2 linked regions of the Anolis sagrei genome follow. The protein of the gene in region 1 purifies or fractionates together with the protein of each later gene. This does not show direct contact. Links are inferred from orthologs where the notes say so. Each region holds a gene or a part of one and is shown in the gene's direction. Other genes may lie near its edges.

Region 1 (7,004 bases):
ATATAGAAGGAACACCAAGGAGTAGATGGAAGTCCAACCAAACTATGGTTTGTTTGTTTTTTTTCATTTATTTTCTACCATTTTTTTTCTTTTTCCCCCCCTTTTGTACATCTATTTTATTATAATTATTTATAATTATAATACTAGTACTAAAAATGAATATTAATAATAATGTAATATTATATTACATTAATATAATATAATATTATAATATTAATAATAATGTAATAATAATAATAATAACAATAATGTAATAATTATAATAAATAGTAAACTAAATCCTTGATTGTTTGTCCCCCCTTTTCTGTATTTTTGGTTTTATTGAATAAGAAAAAACAAGTTGGTACGACAATAAAAATTAATATGAAAAAATAAAAATTAATATGAAAAATTCAAATAATAATAATACCAAATAGTAAGTAAATAGTAAATAAATAGTAAGATAAATCCTAATAATACTAATACATAATGATGTAATAATATTAATAAAATGAAAATAATTAATAATTAATAATCGTCAATATGAATAAAAACATTATAGTAGTACTAATAATAGCAACATTCACACTTATCTCCAACAGACAAGAGTTCTTTCCCCCACCCTGGACATTCCACAAAGATAGAAACCCAATTTTCCTAGTTTCCAACACACCTCACAATCTTTGAGGATGCTTCAGCCATGGATGAGGGTGAAATGTCAGGAGAGAACTGGAAGATGGCCATGCAGCCCAGAAGACTCACAACAGCCCAGTGATTCACACAATCCGAGAATCAAAGAGCTGGAAGAGACCTCCTGGGCCATCTAGTCCAACCCCATTCTGCCAAGAAGCAGGAATATTGCATTCCGGGCATTAAAGCCTTTGACAATACATAATGATAGCAATAAATAGTAAAATAAATCCTAATAAATAATAATAATGATAAAAATAATAATATAACAAAAAGAAATAAAGAGTAAACAAGTAAATAGTATCATAAATCCTAATAATAATAATAATAATAATAATAATAATAATAATAATAATATTTTTGTCGTGTCAGGAGCGACTTGAGAAACTGCAAGTCGCTACTGGTGTGAGAGAATTGGCCGTCTGCAAGGACATTGCCCAGGGGACACCCAGATTATTTGATGTTTTTATCACCCTTGTGGGAGGCTTCTCTCATGTCCCCGTATGAGGAGCTGGAGCTGATAGAGGGAGCTCATCCACCTCTCCCCAGATTCGAACCTGCGACCTGTCAGTCTTCAGTCCTGCCGGCACAGGGGTTTAACCCACTGCACCACCGGGGGCTCCATAATAATAATAATAATAATAATAATAATAATAATAATAATGTAATAGAAGTAATAATAAACACTAAAATAAATCCTAATAATAATCATCTAATATTAATAATAATAAAAAGAAAATAAATCCTAATAATAAAAATTATAATTATTAATAATGTAATAATAGTAATAAACAGTAAACTATATAGTAAAAAAAATTAATAAGAGTAATAAAAGGAAAATAAATCCTAATAATTAATAATTATTACTATTAATAATGCCGTAATAATAGTGATAAAGGGGAAATGAATCCTAATAATTTTTAATCATTAATATTATTAATAATATTATAATAGTAATAAACAGTAAAATAAATACTAGTACTAATAATGAATATTAATAATAATGTAATAATTATAATAAATAGTAAACTAAATCCTTATAGTAATTATTATTAATAATAAAATAAATCTTAATAACAACAATAATTTAGACGAAGAATAAGTCAGTAACATGATAAGGGGAAGAAAGAAGAGAAGGGAAGGATAATACAGGGCCTGGTGCCTCTATAAAAAGAAGAATATATAGAAGGAACACCAAGGAGTAGATGGAAGTCCAACCAAACTATGGTTTGTTTGTTTTTTTTCATTTCTTTTCTACCATTTCTTTCTTTTTCCCCCTTTTGTACATCTATTTTATTATAATTATTTTTTCTCTTGTCCCATTATTCCTTTTTGGCCTCTGTTTCTCCTTTTCCCTTCTCCCCCCCCCCACCCCTCTTGATTGCTTGCCCCCCCCTTTTCTGTATTTTTGGTGTTATTGAATAAGAAAAAACAAGTTGGTACGACAATAAAAATTAATATGAAAAAAATTAATATGAAAAAATTAATCCAAATAATAATACCAAATAGTAAAAACAATCATAATAAAATAATATATAATAAAAAGGTAATAATAGTAATAAATAGTACATAAATAGTAAAATAAATCCTAATAATACTAATAAATAATAATGTAAGAATAATAGTAATAAAAGGAAAATAAATATTAATATTAATATCATCATCAACAACAACAACAGTAACATGCACACCTACCTCCAACAGACAAGAGTTCTTTCTCCCACCCTGGACATTCCACAAATATATAAACCCAATTTTCCTATTTTCCTCACAACCTCTGAGGATGCCTGCCATAGATGCAGGCAAAATGTCAGGAGAGAATGCTTCTGGAACATGACCATACAGCCTGGAAAGCTCACAACCCAGTGATTCCAGCCATGAAAGCCTTCGACAATACATAATGATAGGAATAAATAGTAAAATAAATCCTAATAATAATTAATATTAATAATAATATAATAATAAAAATAATAAATAGTAAACTAGTCAAGACTCAATAGTATAATAAATCCTAATAATAATATGAATAATAATGTAATAAACAGTAAAATATATTCTATTAATAATAAATAATCTAATATTAATAAAAAGAAAATAAATCCTAATAATTAAAATTATATTAATAATATAATAATAGTAATAAACTAAAGCCTAATAACATTAATAAATAATAATTAATATGAGTAATAAAAGGAAAATAAATCCTAATAATTAATAATCATTTATATTAATAATGTAAGAATAGTAATAAAAGGAATAAAAGGAATAAAAAGCCCCCCGGTGGTGTAGTGGGTTAAAGCCTTGTGCCGGCAGGACTGAAGAGTGACTGGTCGCAGGTTTGAATCCGGGGAGAGGCGGATGAGTTCCCTCTATTAGCTCCAGCTCCTCATGCGGGGACATGAGAGAAGCCTCCCACAAGGATGATACAGCATCAAAAATCATCCAAGCGTCCCCTGGGCAACTCTCACAACAGGAGCAGTTGCTCCTGACACGACAAAAAAATAAAAAATAAAATAAAAGGAAAATAAATCCTAATAATAAATAATCTAAAATTAATAAGAAAAAGAAAATAAATCCTAATAATAATTAATATAATAATAGAAATAAATAGTAAACTAAATCCTAATAATTGATATTAATAATAATGTAATAAAAAGTAATAAATAGTAAACTAAATCCTAATAATAATTAATAATAATAGGAATAAATCCTGATAATAATTAATAATCATTTATATTAATAATGTAATAATAGTAATAAAAGGGAAATAAATCCTAAAATTAATAATCATTAATATTAATATAATAATAGTAGTAAAAATAGTATAATAAATCCTTATAGTAATAATAGTAATAAAAGGAAAATAAATCCTAATAATAATCGTTACTATTAATATTAATATATTAGTAGTAGTAATAAATAGTATAATAAATCATTATAGTAATAATAACGTAATAGTAAGAGTATTAAAAGGAAAATAAATCCTTATAGTAATAATAATGTAATAGTAAGAGTATTAAAAGGAAAATAAATCCTAATAATCAATAATCATTATTATTAATGCTATAATAATGGTAATAGAGGAAAAATAAATCCTAATAATAATAATATCATTATTAATACTAAAATAATAGTAATAAGTAGTAAAATAAATACGAGTACTAATAATTATAATGTAATAATAGATAGTAAACTAAATCCGGAGAGTAATTCTGATTAATAGTAAAAGCAATCCTAACAACAGGAGCAGGAGCAGGAGCGTGAACCCAACAGTAGGAAGACTCGGGACTAAGTGAGCTCGCTTGGCTGAGCCCGAGGAGGAGTTTCGTTTTCCTGCCTGAGTTTCGTTTTTCCGCGGGTGGAAACGGAAAGCGCCGCGCGCTTCGGGGGCTGCTCTCCCCCCGCCCCCCCCCCACCCCCGAGGAGCCGCATAAAAGGCGCGCCTGTCAGACGCCCGGCACTTCGGGAACGGGAGGCGCGATTGGAGGCAGAAGAGCAGAGCAGAGCAGAGCAGAGCAGAGCGGAGCGGAGCGGAGCGGAGCGGAAGATTGCGAGTTCGAATCCAGCCATGGTGAGTGACGCTCTTGCCCAGGGACTGAAAGTCAGTGGGGAAAGGCAGAGGAGGAGGAGGAAGCAGCAGCTCCCCTTCACTTGGCCCAGCTCCAGGCCTGCGAAGGGCTCGCTTCAAGCCACGACTCCCAAGACCTCATCGCCTTGAGCCAGGGCAGTTCATCGCGGTACCAAACTGCGTTAACTCTGTAGTGTAGACGCGTCACTGGAAGGAAACGTGACAATTCCCTATTGAGCACCAATTGCCAATGTAGGGCTGCTAAGGCCCCCACTACGTTGCCATATAACATCCAGATTATCTGCCGGATTATATGGCAGTGTAGACTCGGATAATCCAGTTCATATAAAATCCATATAAAATCAGGTTTATCTGCTTTGTACCGGATTATATGGCAGTGTAGACTCGGATAATCCTGTTCATATAAAATCCATATAAAATCCAGATTATCTGCTTTGTACCGGATTATATACCAGTGTAGACTCGGATAATCCAGTTCATATAAAATCCAGATTATCTGCTTTGTACCGGATTATATGGCAGTGTAGACTCGGATAATCCCGTTCATATAAAATCCGTATAAAATCCAGATTATCTGCTCTGTACCGGATTATATACCAGTGTAGACTCGGATAATCCAGTTCAAAGCAAGTAGTGTGGTTGTCAGCTTGGATAAACCTGGATTACATAGCAGTGCAGAAGGGTTCCTGAGTCGACACTGCCATTTAATCCAGGTCAAAGTAGATAATCTGGGTTTTATATGGCAGTGTAGACTCGGATAATCCAGTTCAAAGCAGGTAGTGTGGATTCTCTTCCTGCATAAACCTGGATTATATGACAGAGCAGAAGGGGCCTGAGTCTACACTGCTATGTAATCCAGTTCAAAGTAGTAAATCTGGGTTTTATATGACAGTGTAGACTCGGATAATCCAGTTCAAAGCAGGTAGTGTGGTTGTCAGTTTGGATAAACCTGGATTATATAGCAGTGCAGAACGGGCCTGAGTCGACTCTGCCATATAATCCAGTTCAAAGCAGATAGTGTGGATTTTCTTCTTACATAAACCTGGATTATATGACAGAGCAGAAGGGGCCTGAGTCTACACTGCCATATAATCCAGTTCAAAGTAGATAATCTCGGTTTTATATGGCAGTGTAGAAAGCCTGAATCCAAGATGAACCCATGGGCAAAAAAAAATTCCACCCAAATTGTCGAAGCTTTCTTGGCCAGAATCACAGGGTTGTTGTAGGTTTTTTGGGCTGTATGGCCATGTTCTAGAAGCATTCTCTCCTGACATTTCGCCTGCATCTATGACAAGCATCCTCAGAGGTTGTGAGGTCTGTTAGAATCTAGGAAAATTGGGTTTCTATATTTGTGGAATGTCCAGGCTGGGAGAAAGAACTCTTGTCTGTTGGAGGTAGGTGTAATGTTGCTATTTTTAGTACTATTATTATATTATTATTCATATTGACTATTATTAATTATGATTTATTTTCAGTTTATTAGTATTACTACATCATTTATTAGTATTATTAGGATTTATCTTACTATTTATTACTATTATTACATTTTATTATTTATTTATTTAATTATTTTTATTCAGATTTTTTTTAAACTAGGCTTGCCACAGATGCAGGCGAAACATCAGGAAAGAATGCTACTAGAATATGGCCATACAGCCTGAAAAACCTACAACAATCCTCCCAAATTATTCATAAACAACAACAATAATGATTATAATAATATCATTATGCAACACAGTTTATGTTCCTGGGTTAGAAATGTCATTTCCTGATTGGTTTGGTCATAGAAACATGGGCAAAGTGGATTACACTGCCAAATATATTACCCACCTCTCCTTGCTGCTCAAGGTGGGGTACAACATCATTATTTATCTGGGTTGTTTTTCAGGCTGTATGGCCATGTTCCAGAAGCATTCTCTCCTGACATTTCTCCTGCATCTATGGCAGGCATCCTCAGAGGTTGTGACTGCACAGCCTCTGAGGATGCCTGCCATAGATGCAGGAGAAACGTCAGGAGAATATGCTTCTGGAACATGGCCATACAGCCCGAAAAACTTACAACAACCCAGTTGTAAATGTAATAATCTATATAAATAAAAATGTAATGTTGGTTTTTGGGATTAACAGAACTCAAAAACCAGTGGGCGAAATGACACCCAATTTGGACACAAGACACCTAACAACCCAATGTATGTCCTTCAAGCAAAAAAAAAAAAAAAAAAGATTGACATTTGGGAGATGTAGTTTCTGGGATTTATAGTTCACCTGCAATCAAAGAGCATTCTGAACCCCACCAACGATGGAATCGAACCAAACTTGGCACACAGTTCTCCCATGACCAACAGAAAATACTGGAAGGGTTTGGTGGGCAGTGCCCTTTGGTTTTGGAGTTGTAGTTCACCTACATCCCAAGATCACTGTGGACTCAAACAATGATGGATCTGGACCAAACTCCACGCGAATACTCAATATGCCCAAATGTGAACACTGGTGGAGTTTGGGGAAAAGAAACCTTGACATTTGGGAGTTGTAGTTGCTGGGATTTATAGTTCACCTACAAGCACAGAGCATTCTGAACCCCACCAATGATAGAATTGGGCCAAACCTCCCACACAGAACCCCCATGTGGGCCACAGCAACGCGTGGCAGGGGACGGCTAGTAACAGAATAGAGTAAAATAATAAATGTAATAATAGAGTAAAATCATAATAATAATAATAATAATAATAATAATACAATTAAATAA
Region 2 (7,794 bases), on another chromosome or scaffold:
AAAATTATTTCTTCCTAACAAGATGGATGAGGTCCTTGAAATATAGTTAGATTACAACTCCTTCCATCTTTTGCCGCTCTCTATGGTATCTAGGGTTGATGCAATTTCCCCTGCAACAACATTTCAGTTGATATTGTTGTCCGCTTCACAGGCGGTGGGGGTATTTTATTTTGAGTAGCAGGACCATATTTGCTGAAAGAAGAATGTATTGGTTTATAGGCTAAATGTGAATATATTGTGAAAATGGTGATATGGTGATATGTACAGTTCAACAGTTGCATTGTGCAATGATGTGGACATATCTTGGAAAAGTAATGTTCTCATCCACTCTGTTAGGGAAAAACAGTTCAGCATTGCCCTTCTAAAAACAAATGAACAAAAAAACCAAAAACCAAATTGCTATCCATTAGATTCTGTCACAACACCATTCCCGGGATGTAAGAAGTTAAAAGGGAAAACTGTTTGATCCTCTTGGCATTTACTCAAGTTACACTCTTGCGTTCAAATATATTTTCACCCATTCAAGTATTTAAGACAGTTGCCTAAAGTAGCCAAGAAATACTAATCAAGTTCAACTTTTAACTCTCATACGGATCCTTTGTAGTACTTCTTAAAATACAAACCAGCCAGGCAGCCGTCTTAGGAAGCTGTATCCCTTCTGAGAAGGCTCGAAATTGAAATGACCTTTGGAATCTCACATTACTGAAACTAACCTTGCTCCTTTACATGATCTCAATGGCACACAAGAAACGGAGGCTGTTTTCAATGCAAGTGTGATAAGAAAAACGAATAAAGGATAAGAATGTAATGGTGACTGAACAGAAATGCTCGTACATATGTCTAATAAATAGCAGTAGGTCTTTAGAAACTGGTGTGGGACAAAGGTAGAAAGTGTTCCCCAGTGTAGTTTGGTTGGGACCTATATGAAAAAACATGATTTAATAGATGACAGACAACAGGCCTGGTAAATTGAGGGTCATTAACAGTTTTTGAAAATTATCCACATTTACAGGAGTTTGGCATTACAAATCGCAAAGTGAGCTAACATTTATTCACAACTAACTTTAATGCTTTTATTTTGTAACATGTAATTGAGTAAAATTTCATTGGGAGAAGAATAAGAAAGTGGTTAAACTTTTCCAACAGGTTTTCAAAAAACTTTAATTGGATATGAAACATAAAAAGCTGTTCAAAATCATTCAAACAAATCATCAGTGCTTACAATCGAAATTGACTGAATTTTAAAAAATAATGAATTTGTGAAAGACTTACATGGTATGACATTTTATTGTGTTTTGTTTGAATTCAGCATTTTAAAAAAATGTGACAATATTGAAAAAAAATAATCACAAGCCTGTGTAATGTTTGGGAAGGCAATAGAAAAAGCGGAAGACCTTATTACAGATGGATAGACCCTATGAAGAAGCATTTGCAGGATCAGAATAAGACTTGGGGGTCTCTCATTCTTAAGATCACCATAAGTTGAAGTTGACTTAATGGCAGATAACATTGCTTGAGCGACTGAGGGGGAAAGGGAAAGGGGGACAGGGAAAGGGCCTGAGGCTGTTAGGAATGGTGGGAGTTGCAGTCCAAAACACCTGGAGGGACCAAGTTTGCCCATGCCTGGTATAGAGTGTATATGAAATATGAAAAATTGTGTTTAAGTTTGGCTCTCATCTCCAAGATATCCCAGAACATTGATGAAAATATCCCAACATCCAAAAAATCGCAAACATGTCTGAACTCAAGCATTTTGGATAAGTGGTATTCAACCTATATATGTATCTGTACATATACGTCCATAGTGCTTGGCTTATGTAGCACATAGAAATGCCTACAACATAAGTGTACTTTGGGGCCAATCTTGCTCACTTACACACATGCATCTGATATAAACTTTATGACAATGCAGTCTAAACCAAACAGTACTATAAAATAGCAACCAAATTTTAAAAAACTGAAATATTACAATCAGGTTATTTAGTGCATTGCTGGTGGTAATTTAATACTCTGTATGTATTTTTCAGTCTGTCATATACTTTTTATTTTGATACTGCTATTGATAGCAAATAGAGGGATAAAAGGTGGAAGCAGTGACAGACTTTGTATTTCTAGGTGCAAAGATTACTGCAGATGCAGACTGCAGCCAGGAAATCAGAAGACGTTTGCCTCTTGGGAGGAGAGCAATGACCAATCTCGATAAAATAGTGAAGAGTAGAGACATCACCCTGGCAATGAAGATCCACATAGTTAAAGCAATGGTATTCCCTGTAGTAACCTACGGATGTGAGAGCTGGACCATAAGGAAGACTGAGCAAAGGAAGATAGATGCTTCTGAACTGTGATGTTGGAGGAAAATTCTGAGAGGGCCTTGGACTGCGAGAAGATCCAACCAGTCCATACTTGAGGAAATAAAGCCCAACTGCTCATTGGAGGGAAGGATATTAGAGGCAAAGATGAAGTACTTTGGCCACATCATGAGAAGAGAGGAAAGCTTAGAGATGACAATGATGCCGGGGAAAATGGAAGGAAAAATGCACTTTAATACTGATTTAGGATTGTCTACGTGCCCTCATCTTTCTTTGAAAACCCTATCCTAGTTTACCTTACCTTGTTTCATGCCCAGCATTTTTAAATTTTAATTATTACATTTGGCCCGGCCATAGGTTTTTTAATGCTCTATGTTATTGTTACTGTTTATTGTGTATTTTTTGTTTTGAGTTTTTATTTCAACTGTTTGTATTGATTGTTATCGCTTTTATTTATTGATGTGCTGTGGGCTTGGCCTCATGAAAGCCGCACTGAGTCCCTTGGGGAGATGGTAAGGTAAAGGTAAAGGTAGTCCCCTGACATTAAGTCCAGTCATGTCTGACTCTGGGGTGTGCTGCTCATCTCCATTTCTAAGCCGAAGAGCCAGCGTTGTCCGTAGACACCTCCACGGTCATGTGGCCGGCATGACTGCATGGAGCGCTGTTACCTTCCCGCCGGAGCGGTACCTATTGATCTACTCACATTTGCATGTTTTCGAACTGCTAGGTTGGCAGAAGCTGGGGAGATGGTAGCGGGGTACAAATAAAGTTTTTTTTTTAAAAAAATATTATTATTATAAAAAGGATGAGGGGCCGACCAAGGGCAAGATGGATGGATGGTATCCTTGAAGTGACTGGCTTGACTCTGAAGGAGCTGGGTGTGGTGACGGCTGACAGGGAGCTCTGACGTGAGCTGGTCCATGAGGTCACGAGGAGTCGGAAGCGACTGAACGAATGAACAACACACTGCTATAGTGGCCTCAGAGAACAAGGTAACACAATCAAGGCAGTGCCTTATGTGTGTTAGATCAGTTTCCACTGGCATAGCTTGCATATAAATTAACCAAAACTGTTCAGCTGGCATACAAAGACAGCACCTTCTGTCCACATTCGCTGGGACTGGGGCACTAGGGTTAAGCGCCTGAAGGGGAAAAGAAAAGAGCCTGAGGCTGTTAGGAATGGTGGGAATTGGGTGATAGTATGATAGCTGGGTCCGGAAGCTCTGAGCGTTATGCACATTTTGCAAGAGTGGTTGTGAATAAGAGAAGGGACCACGTAAGGGTAGAAGGCTAGAAATGAGGGGAGGGTTGGGATGAGGTTTAGGGTTAGGTCAGAGGCGGCCCTAGGTAATTTTCAACGGTAAGCAAACAGTATTTTGGCGCCCCCCCCCCCCCAATCACTGATATATATTTTCTGTTCATCATGGGAGTTCTGTGTGCCATGTTTAGTTCAATTCCATCATTGGTGGAGTTCAGAATGCTCTTTGATTTTAGGTGAACTATACATCCCAGTAACTACAACTCGCATATGTCAAGGTCTATTTTTCCCCAAGAGCGCCCCTGGGCAAAATCAACTATACTGAGAATGCTTACTTTGCGTAATGGGTTGAGCCGCCCCTGGGTTAGGTTTTAGGTTAGGGTAAGGATTGGGCATAGGGTAATGTTAAGGTAAACTTTAGGGTTAGGATTAAGGGTTAGGTTTAGGGTAAGATTTAGGGTTAGGGCAAGATTTAGGGTAAGCTTTAGAATTAGGGTTTGCGTTAGGGTTAGGGTAAGGTTAGAATATGCTTTAGGGTTAGGGTTTGTGTTAGGATTAGGGTAAGGTTTAGAGTTAGGTTAGGATTAGGGGTTAGGTTTAGAGTTCGGTTAGGGTTTTACCATTAAAGAACTCTTATATTCCTTCTGTAATATCGCGTTGCGCATTCAGCGCTCCCGAAGGATCGAAGTAGAAACAGCGTTAGGCTCGGAGCTTCCGGACCCAGCTATCATACTATTGGATTGCTGTAGTTTTTTTCGGGCTATATGGCCATGTTCTAGAGGCATTTTCTCCTGACGTTTCTCCTGCATCTGTGGCAAGCATCCTCAGAGGTAGCACTACATCTGAGGATGCTTGCCACAGATGCAGGAGAAACGTCAGGAGAAAATGCCTCTAGAACATGGCCATATAGCCCGAAAAAAACTACAACAGCCCAGTGATTCCGGCCATGAAAGCCTGCGACAATATATCATACTATTATCGGGAACTGAAGGCCAAAACAACTGGAGGGCCTAAGTTTGCCCATGTCTGCTCCAGCCTGCTCCTCCTGCCAAAGAATGCCGGCGCCTCACCAAACTACAACTCCCAGGATCCCACTGCAATGAGGCAGGGCAAGGAACTGCCTTGCCTTGAGCCCGCGCGGCCTTCCTTCCGCCTTCCTTCCAGGCGCCCTCGCGCCCCGCCGAGGACTCCCTTTCCCGGCGTGCGTCGGGGCAGCGGCCCAGCGGGTGACGTCGCCGGAAGTGAAGAACGGACTCCTTCCGGCAGCGCGTGAGCCCCGAGCGGAGCCGAGACCCAGCGGAGCCTGAATCCCCGATAAGACAAGATGGCCGGGCTGCCCCGCAGGATCATCAAGGTAGGTCGGCTTCGCGCCCTCGGCCTCACCGTTCTCGCCTGAGGCCTTCCGCGCAGGGAGACAGGCCTCTTGGGCCTCTCGGCCGGGCCTTGGGCCTTGGGCGGAGAGGAGCCCTGAGCCGGGACTCAGCGGGGAAGGCGGCGCTTCCGGTGCCCTCAGCTGGCCTTGCCTCTTGCGCCTCTGCGAGGCCTGAGGGCCGCAACAGGGAGAGTGGGAACGCGCCGCCATTTGAGGCGGGCGGGCAGTCGGGCAGGTGGGAGTGACCGCGCGGACGGAAGGAGGGAGCTGCGAGGGAATGAATGGCCAGGCCTGCCGCCTCTCTCTCTCCCTCCCGCCAGCCTTCTCTCGCTGCCCCTCTGCGGTGAAGGGAGGCGGCTCTGTTTGTGACTCAAGGACGGGCTGGAATGGCGGGGAAATGCCGCAAAAGGCGCACCAGATGATGCCCTCAGCGCCCAGGCATTGCTCCGCCAGGGTGAGGAGGGCCACTCCTTGCCCGCTTCGCCCACAGAATCGCCGAGTTGGAAGTGACCCCCGGGAACACACGCGCCAAGCACTCCCGACAGATGGCCATCCAGCCTCTGCTTCAAAACCAGACCCTCAATTTGGGAGGAGAGGCGTGGCCGGGTTTCAGTCATGACCCAGGAGCGCCTCTTAGGCTCCTTCCAGACAGGCCCTATATCCCAAGATCGGATCCTAGGTTTTCTGCTGTAAACTGGATTATATGAGTCCGCACTGCCAGAATTTTTTTTTTTACGTGTCAGGAGCGACTTGAGTAACTGCAAGTCGCTTCTGGTGTGAGAGAATTGGCCGTCTGCAAGGACGTTACACAGGGGACGCCTGGAAGTTTTTGGATGTTTTACCAGTCATGTGTGGGAGGCTTCTCTCATGTCCCAACATGGGGAACTGGAATGGATAGAGGGAGCTGAACCCTCTCTCCCTGGTTGTTTTGGCCTTCAACTCTCACCATTCCTAACAGCCTCAGGCCCCTCCCATTTTACTCCCATCACTAGTACACATTTGTGGTTTTGACTTCTCTAGATTTGATTCAAATGTCTTCCCTAGGAATTTCCAGCTCCCAGGTGACCCTATGGTTCATACCTTTTTGTCATGCTGGGAGACCTAGAAATTTATAGTGAGGACATCTCTCAAGGGGAAAGCTTGTTTTCCACTGCCCTAAAGACCAGGAACAGGAGCAATGGATTCCAGCTGCAGGAAAAGACATTCCACCCAAACATTTGGAAAAACTTCCTGTTGGTGACAGCTCTTTTGCAGTGGAGTATGGTCCTCAGAGCGTGATGAAGTCTCCTCCTCTGGCCATCTGTTGGGTGGCTTTTATAGTGTGTTCCAGCATGGAAGAAGGGGGTTGGACTGGATGGCCCTTGGGGTCTCTTGCAACTTTATGGTTCTGTGAAATGCCATAATTCCGCAGCAGCGAGCCATGGCAATCAAAGCGATGTCAAACTGCATTCCTTCAACAGTGCAGATATACTCATGGCAAGTGGATGTAGACACTGTGTTGTCAAAGGCTTTCATGGCTGGAATCACTTGGTTGCTGTGAGTTTTCCGGGCTGTATGGGCATGTTCCAGAAGCAGTCTCTCCTGATGTTTCGCCCACATCTATAGTAGGCATCCTCAGAGATTGTGAGGTTTGTTGGAAACTAGGCAAGTGAGGTTTATAGATCTGTGGAATGTCCAGGGCAGGAGAAAACTCTTATCTGTTTGAGGCAAGTGTGAATGTTTCAGTTGATCACTCTGATTAGCACTTAATGGCCTTGCAGCTTCAAACCAAAGTATTCTGCAAGGGCATTGCACAGGGGGCACCCGGATGTTTTATCATCCTTGTGGGAGGCTTCTCTCATGTCACTGCATGGGGAGCTGGAACTGACAGAGGGAACTCAGCTCGCTTTCCCCTCATGCGAACTATTGACCTGTCATTCAGCAATCCTGCTGGCACAAGGTTTTAACCCAATGTGCCCCCTAGATGTGGGTGAAACATCAGGAGAGAATGTTTCTGGAACATGCCCATACAGTGCAGAAAACTCACAGCAACCCAGATTTAGACACCTTTTGAGGGCCCTTCCAGACAGGCCATATATCTGATCTGAACCCAGCTTTACTATTTATCCCAAATTATCATAGCACTCCATGGCACAATGAGTTAAACCCTTGTGCCAGCAGGATCGCTGACTGACACGTCATTGATTTGAATACAGGAAGACTGGGTTGAGCTCCCTCTGTCAGCCTCAGCTCCCCATGCGGTGACCTGAAAGAATTCTCCCATGAGGATGGTAAAACATCTGGGTGTCCCCTCGGCAATGTCCTTGCAGATGGCCAATTTTCTCGCACCAGAAGTGACTTGCAGTTTCTCAAGTCGCTCCTGACATGAAACAAAAACCCACATCTATGGCAGGCATCCTTAGAGGTTGTGAGGTTTGTTGGAAACTAGGCAAATGCAAACATAGGATTCTCCCAGGCAGGAAGCAACCAAGCTTTGAAGCTGCAAGGCCATTCAGTGTTAATCAAGGTGATCAATTGCACCATTCACACTTACCTCAAACAGACAAGACTACCTTGGACATTTCACAGATATATAAACCTTACTTGCCCAGTTTCCAACAAACTTCACAACCTCTGAGGATGCCTGCCATAGATATGGGTGATACTTCACGAGAGAATGTTTCTGGAACGTGGCTATACAGCCTGGAAAACACACAGCAACCCAGTGATTCCAGCCATGAAAGCCTTTGGCAACACATTGTCTAAATCGGCTTGCTAAGGGTATATCAGCGCTGTTGAATGAATTCAGTTTGACACCGCATTGCCATGGCTCAGTGCTGTGGAATTACGGCATTTCATAGAATTATAAGGTTGCAA

Evidence for each region.
Region 2: the proteins of ISG15 (region 1) and UBE2N purify together in Homo sapiens (affinity purification with western blotting; 3 studies listed by BioGRID, with this or other methods). This does not show direct contact. The link is inferred for Anolis sagrei from reciprocal best matches to the Homo sapiens genes ISG15 and UBE2N.

Annotation. Positions count from the first base shown.
Region 1 is NC_090034.1:47,507,297-47,514,300, reverse strand, and holds the start of ISG15 (ubiquitin-like protein ISG15), read left to right. Parts: upstream 1-4,003; 5' UTR 4,004-4,176; intron 4,177-4,206; 5' UTR 4,207-4,237; coding exon 4,238-4,240; intron 4,241-7,004.
Region 2 is NC_090025.1:154,604,243-154,612,036, reverse strand, and holds the start of UBE2N (ubiquitin-conjugating enzyme E2 N), read left to right. Parts: upstream 1-4,784; 5' UTR 4,785-4,890; coding exon 4,891-4,920; intron 4,921-7,794. UniProt on the Homo sapiens protein: The UBE2V1-UBE2N and UBE2V2-UBE2N heterodimers catalyze the synthesis of non-canonical 'Lys-63'-linked polyubiquitin chains. This type of polyubiquitination does not lead to protein degradation by the proteasome.